2 linked regions of the Tribolium castaneum genome follow. The protein of the gene in region 1 binds, or shares a complex with, the protein of each later gene. Links are inferred from orthologs where the notes say so. Each region holds a gene or a part of one and is shown on either strand. Other genes may lie near its edges.

Region 1 (3,059 bases):
GAGAAATTATCATATGTCAATTTTTTTTATATAAATTTTGATTTGCAGGGGTTCATTTGAAATATCACAGCTCGTGAACCCTTTATAATAAGTGAATAATTCTTTTTGCATTTGATAGCCAAAGGTTTGAAAGATCTTCTAAAATCTTCTGTATTGTCAACCGTAAAACTGCCTTACTTTACATAATTCACAAAATTATAATGAAACATAATTAAATATTATTGTTTTACTGCTTATTTGATAATGAACCAGCTAAAAATTAAATAAGTTTGACAATTGTTGACCATTTTGCAAGTTCTACTTGATTAACTATGAAAACTGCGAAGTAGTGATTTAACTTCAAACTTGGCGCCAATTTTTTGTAGTTCCGAAAGCTCAGCCATTTTGAAAAAAAATAAGTTGAATTCAGAATAGTCGATTTAGATCGTGTACAAAATTTTAAAGCTCTAGCTATATTACAAGTTAAAAGTTACTAATGTAGGCCCTAACAGAATCACCGTGTATAACTCAGGTATCAATTTACTTACAAACACTAAAACATGGAATTTAATCAGAGTTGGCGACACTGGACGCTTTTATTTTACGAAATAAGATTAATTTAAGATTATGTTACAACTAATTATTTAGTATTGAATCACCACGTACAAAAATAAGGTAATTTAAATATTTTCAAGGACATTTGATGTTTAAAAAAAAGGCGCCAAATTCAAACAACGTGTTCAAGGACCCCTTGTCGTATTAATTCCTCGCATTCGCTTCTCGGTAAGTAATGACGACTGTTTTCCTTCAATAACAACACCGAACCATCGTTCAATTCAAACTGTCCATAATCCGTTAGACACCTGACCTCAATATACAAAGACTTTGGCGGTTTTAAATCCACAGCTAAATTAATCCCTTCATCACCAATTGATCGCATATATTGTACTAAATTGCTGGAATATTTCGAAAACCATTCAATTTCCGATTGACTTAAATTCGATTTAACATCTGGCGGTAAAATACTGCCGAATTGCCAGCGCATGTTTCTGAGACATTTTAACCGATTGTAGTGATAAGCCAGAATGCATCGAATGTTCCGTTTGATAGCCGCATGCCGTATTTTGACTGTAGGTAAATAAGAGGCGTGATTCATAACCCGACTATCTTCAGAAATTTGACTGAAAAAAAAAACGCTGAAGTATTGGTTTCGAGGATCAAGTGTGTAAACTTACGCATCTTCTTGGTTTTGAGTAATGAGTTGCTTGACTTCAGTGTTGATTTCATTGAGAAGATCAGTCTGAAAAAAAATTGTAAAATATTGAGTGAGGAACAATTTGGTAATTTTTACGTTGTAAGGCGGTAAAGCGTCCCGGTTTCGAGATAATTCTTTGATCAAAACGTGGGCTTTCTCACAAAACATTTCGATTTAAAATTTTGTCTAAATAGTTTTCTAACCTAAAAGCCCGCCAAATGACAGTAAAGGTGCATTTATAATGACAGGCCACAACTAAAGGCGGGTTTACACGAATCACGCGTATCCTTGTGTGATGTCACATCTACGGTAAGTTATGCTGCCCTACTACGCAAAAATTTCGTCACTACTTTTACGTATTTTTTGAGTTATTTCATGTTTCTTAAATTTTCTATGGTATCTTTATTTCATATAATTGAAGTATGAAATTTTGAACTTTAATAAACGATTTATTTGCAAAAATGATATTGGCACGTTATTTTATGCATATCTTTTTAGAGTGCTGTTTTTCAATATACGACAATTGAAATACAAATTTTCTTGAAGTTTCGAAGCAAAAAAGTCGTAACTACAAAAAACATTTTTTGAAGATAATTAAACAATTGATGGCAAAATATTCGTATAATAAATTAACGAAGAAGCAATCTAGATGGACAGTCAATGCTCTTACAAAGTGGCTAATAAGTATGGCTACAGCTAATTTTTTTATTAAAATGTGTTCTTTTACAGACAAAAGTGTTATTTAATAACCATTATTAACTTTAACTTATTTTTTGGTCAAAGTTCAGGCGGAAACGAGCTAACGTTAGATAAAGACAACATTTCCAAAGCAGAGAAAATTTTATTAGTTAGATATTTTTTTAATGAGATAAGCATGTGTTACATCAAGAACTAAAAAAATAAATTTGACCCTTCTTGCTGTGTAAAAAAAGTTAGCCTTGTATCCCCAGAAACAAAATTAATGTAAATGAAAATTTTATAGACATCTAAAACGATAGAATTTAAACAGTACTTTTAAGCAAATACAAGATTTCAATTAATTATTATTTAATATTTAACTGTATCCATACTTTTTAGCAACCAAGTATAAGAGTAATATTATAATATCTAATAATAACAATGAATACTTAACTAAATAGACATTTTTAATTTTATTTTTGGGGCAAATTGTTCCAAAAATTATGCTATTAAGAAATGAAATGGGACAACTAAATATTTTTTTTATCACTTTTGGAAAATTTTGTTAATTTTTTTAGTTCGATGGTAATATTTCATGACGGGTCTTGCACAATGCAGTCTTGTCAACTGAAAATTGTAGTTGAAAAAATAGGCCTTAGTACCAAATGACTTTATTAATTTAATTTTACTACTTACATGTTTCTAAAGGAATAAAATCACAGATATATTGATTATTGTTTAACAGATAGTAGTAACTATGACTTAACCCTATAAAAATCTTGAATAAAACACTTCAATATGAAAACAATCATCCAAAGTTATCACAAAAAATATTCTTTACAAGAGATGATACAATATCAGGAATTAAAATAAGAAACATGTTACGCCTGCTGCATACAAATATTTCTGTATAAATATAAAGTACTTTATAAAAAAGAATACATCAATGCGCAGTAGTAGCTATTAACACATTTAGTATATACAGGGTGATGAGCGTGATTTAAACACGCTACAACAAAACCTGTATGTTCCACCAAACAAGGAGGAGAAAAATGCTTCATTATGATACAACATCAATTTCTCTAGGCGACGCCAAAGCAGGTGGCACCACCTGTTGGATGATATTATGGGAAGGTGAGTTTCCTAA
Region 2 (4,282 bases), on another chromosome or scaffold:
TACACACTTTCACGCAACCATGCCGTCATAGTGGAATACACCCCCGACGATGACACCGACATGTTTCAAGTAATTGAGCGTTTTTTGCATTTTAGAGTGTTGCCAATTTTTTTCTTTAGATCGGTCGTTCGTCGGAAGCCCCCATCGACTTCGTGGTCATGGACACCGTCCCCGGGGACAAGACTGGCGAAACCAAGGTGATGCAAAGCACGATATCGCGATTTGCGTGTCGGATTTTATGCGATAGGAAGAATCCGAAAATTGCGAGGATATACGCCGCCGGTTTTGACACCTCCAAAAACATATTTCTCGGGGTATTTTAACAATGATTAAATGGAAAAAAATAGTGTGATGTTTTTTTTTTTGCAGGAGAAAGCAACGAAATGGCAGGAAAACGGGCGCGAAATCGACGGTTTGACCACGAATGGTGTGTTAATTATGCATCCAAGAGGGACGTTTTGTGGGGGAGATGCCAAGTGTAGTTATTGGTTGGAGACGTCTGTTGGTGGAGGTGTGTTTTCGTTGAGGGAGTCAAGGTCGGCCCAACAGAAGGGCCAAGTGGTGGAAAACGAGACGAATATTTTGGAAGATGGGACTTTGATCGATTTGTGCGGGGCTACGCTGTTGTGGAGGTCGGCAGAGGGGCTCACAAAATCGCCGGTAATAGACCAGTTAAATAATCATCACTAAGATACTTGTTTTGAATCCCTAATCGTCTAACAAAAAATGTTTTTTAATTATTTTGCAAAAAATCACAAGCAGGTATTTTGAAGTTTAATTTTTGAAAAAAATAAAATAAATTGCCTTTTATATCTAAACGAGCCGCCCATGTGGGTGGGTTCCTAAAGTTGCCATAGAAATGCGCTGCAATATGTCTGTAACTGTGGTAACAAACAGTTGCCACGGTAAAAACCGCCACAATAACAATAGAAAATCAGCTCAGTGGCGGGTAAAACAATTTGTTTTTCGTCTAATTTTCAGAGCAAACGCGACCTGGAGCGCGAAATCGACGAAATCAACGCCGGTCGCCCGCAGTGCCCCGTTGGCTTGAACACTTTAGTCATTCCCCGAAAAGTCACACCGAACGAAAACCTGCAACAGCCTTACGTTTATCTCAACTGCGGACACGTCCAAGGCTTGCACGATTGGGGCCAAGACAAGGATTCGGGCGCCCGAAAGTGCCCCATTTGCCTAGAAGTAACCGATTTTCCAATTTAGTTGCGAAATTTCTGACGTATTTTTTTAGTTGGGACCGGTTGTGAAGGTCTTTATGGGGCTCGAGCCGGCGTTTTATGTCGATTCGGGGCCCCCGACGTTCGCGTTCAACCCGTGCGGGCACATGGCCACCGAAAAGACCGTCAAGTGAGTTTATTATTATTATTATTTTTTGATTGGGTTAATGTACGTTTATTGCAGGTACTGGGCAAATGTGGCTATTCCGCATGGTACGAATGGGTTTCACGCCGTGTGCCCCTTTTGCGCTTCGCCCCTGGCGGGGTCTCCGGGGTACGTCCGCCTAATTTTCCAGGATAATGTGGATTGAAAGGAATGTAGAGTAGTCCACCAAAGCTTTATTTATGTTTTTGCTCTTTTATTTAATGTATAATTGGTTTTTAGCAGTCTCATTTATTAATTTTTTGGAAATTACCCAATTGTAATTACTTGTAATTATTGTATATAATTGCACTTGAAGATGGGAGCGAGCCGAGAATTGCAGTTGTATCATATCATGATTTTTTTAATGGAAATTGCGGTTTATTACAGTGCAAATGCGTGAATCGTTAAGACTGGTTAGGATTTAGCTTATAATGTAATAAGTATTTAATATAAATCGACCTGTTAATGCAATGTTTTATTCAAAAAAAATATTTTTACATACTTAATTGACCCAGATTTTTTGATTTTATCGTGATAACAGGCTGTCTCAAAATTGGCGAATTTTAGTTCAGAGCTTTGTAGAGAATTGCTTCAATAGTCCAAATATAGAAAAAAAAATTAAGATTCTGGGTTTCAACCAATGTCTCTGCGGGGAAGTCCCAAATCTTCATTTTGTTTTTACATTGGGACTACTGAAGGGATTCTCTACAACGCTTTGAACTCGGAATTCGTTAATTTTGAGACACCCTGTAAGTTTCTCCGTTAGTCACTTTTTGTATATACTAGACGATAAGTTGCCGTAGTTAATATTTAAGCTACTATAGTCCCACGAAATGAATTTATCTGTGCCTGGATTCACTAAAAAAAGTTTAAAAATTGAACTATTTGTTGTTATTTATAACCCCACAAACATGTTTAACAATAACATATTACAAAATATTACCCCAAGGACTCGAATTTGTTACGAAAGTTTAATAAGAGTCCGAGTGTTTAACAGCATTTCGTCGCCGTTTTTTTACGATTTAACTTCGTAATTTTACATTAAACGTTTTTGTGAGCCAATTTTAATAATTTTTGCGATCTAGGCGGCTGTGAATTTCGTATTAAGGAAATTTGCCATCGTTGGGGTCATTGAACCCAAAAATTACGACCAAAAGACACACATTTTCACTAAATCCATATTAGTTTCACTCATAATGTCTTTGATAAAAATTGAAAAAAAAATTGTCTTAGAAGTTAACCATTACCACAGCCATTACTAACCAAATTTTGTACTTACTTGAAAAACACCGAAGCCGCCGTTTTTCTCAAGACTAACCACTCCACACCGAAACACTCAGTCTTTTCACATTTTTCTGTAAATATTTGTCCAAAATACACGCATTAACACCTTTTCTTCGAATTAAATTGTGGAAAATGCGACCACCATTAAATTTGACCCACCGCCAATTGTTTCATTACCAACATTAATACAATTAAATCACTAGATGTCACAGCGCCTAAATCAAACTTTTGAATTTTCAATTGCAAAATACTCCGATACTATCGCCCGTTATTTCCAAGTTTTCCTTACCTCAATTTGTAAAAAAAACACCAGACTCAGTCATTTGCTTTAATTTCACTAAAATCTACAATATATACAAACAGTCTTAAAATAATGGTACCCTTACATTAACTGTAATTATGTAAACATGATTTGAAGTAAAAATAAATACTTTGATAATTTTTCAACACCCTAATTCGGAAACAAAATTAACTAGAAGCCCTCTGGTGATGACTTTTGAACTATGTCGAAAACAGTAAAGAAATTTTCGTAATGCCACATTTAACTGACATTTAATGAATTGTTCAACAATTTTGCGTGTATAGTGTTAATTACTTACAATAGAAAGAATTACTTTAAAAGTACGTGGTGGTAAATACTAGCGTTGACTTTGGTTCTGTAGTTTTTCGTGGTATAAAGTGTTTATTGTTGGAACTTGAAAGTGGATAAAAAGTGAAAAATATTTAAATTTTGATTACAAAGTGTTATCAAACAGTTGTCTAATTAAAGATTATAAGTAATGGATCACAGCGAACACAAAGTTTGGCTCAAGAAACCAATAAATTAGTGAAGTGTTATGAATTTTAGGTTAGAATTTTCCACTGAAAAAATCATGAAATGCTGCGGTAAATCTACAAAACTACAATAAAGATTAACAACTGCTGATACATTTAAACGTAAATTATGCCAAAAGGTAGGCTTTTCAATGTCTTTGTAATAATTTTCCAATAAAGAAAGTGAACCAAACAGTCATTCGTTATTCGTGTTTTCCTCGTCATCTCTCATTTGTCAACATAAGTTTCTTGCATCAAAGATGAAATAATCATTCCGCATAGGCAATGTAATAATTGTGAAGCCCCAAAATTCGTACAACGCTCAAAATATCCGAATAAACATTTTCCCGCCATTTATGGTTACTGTTTTCGACCTAGCTCAGTGGCGCCCCCAACGGTAATTTTACTTCCGAATACATGATAAAGGAACATACAATTATGCCACTACAACAATTTTTAAGTGTCGATTACACTAAAAAAGACACTAACCCATCAGTGTTAACCCAGCTAACTAAAATATCGTGACAAACAAAAATTAATTCCAATTTTACATAATCAAAGATCAGACAACAGAAACCCCTGGAAGCCAGCCACTGTGACTAAGATATTGCGTAACAACATCTTTAACACTAACTTCAGACGAATTTTTATCAATTTCAACGGTACGGTGTCGATTCGGAGACAAGAGATTTTCCTATTAAAAAAAAACAATTAAACCCAATCAAACAAACAAATCAAACAACTAACCTGAATAATAAGCGATTTCAGTGTGGTGTATTGGACGGGTTGCAAATTTAAAGTCTTGCAA

Evidence for each region. Proteins that work in one complex are often made in the same cells at the same time.
Region 2: DNA replication complex GINS protein PSF1 (region 1) and Mcm5 share a complex: the UniProt entries of both Homo sapiens proteins name them as parts of the CMG helicase complex. The link is inferred for Tribolium castaneum from reciprocal best matches to the Homo sapiens genes GINS1 and MCM5.

The regions. Positions count from the first base shown.
Region 1 is NC_087400.1:16,460,439-16,463,497, forward strand, and holds DNA replication complex GINS protein PSF1, read right to left. Parts: upstream 1,496-3,059; 5' UTR 1,403-1,495; coding exon 1,331-1,402; intron 1,280-1,330; coding exon 1,215-1,279; intron 1,161-1,214; coding exon 707-1,160; 3' UTR 557-706; downstream 1-556. Other genes in the region: PWWP domain-containing protein 2A, read right to left, coding at 2,973-3,059. UniProt on the Homo sapiens protein: Required for correct functioning of the GINS complex, a complex that plays an essential role in the initiation of DNA replication, and progression of DNA replication forks.
Region 2 is NC_087396.1:20,934,015-20,938,296, reverse strand, and holds the start of Mcm5 (DNA replication licensing factor Mcm5), read right to left. Parts: upstream 2,804-4,282; 5' UTR 2,657-2,803; intron 2,259-2,656; exon of another isoform or gene 1,544-2,258; coding exon of another isoform or gene 1,417-1,543; intron 1,363-1,416; coding exon of another isoform or gene 1,247-1,362; intron 1,198-1,246; coding exon of another isoform or gene 982-1,197; intron 661-981; coding exon of another isoform or gene 370-660; intron 315-369; coding exon of another isoform or gene 120-314; intron 70-119; coding exon of another isoform or gene 1-69. Other genes in the region: Pli (protein pellino), read left to right, coding at 1-69, 120-314, 370-660, 982-1,197, 1,247-1,362, 1,417-1,543; Ada2b (transcriptional adapter 2B), read right to left, coding at 4,037-4,168, 4,222-4,282. UniProt on the Homo sapiens protein: Acts as a component of the MCM2-7 complex (MCM complex) which is the replicative helicase essential for 'once per cell cycle' DNA replication initiation and elongation in eukaryotic cells.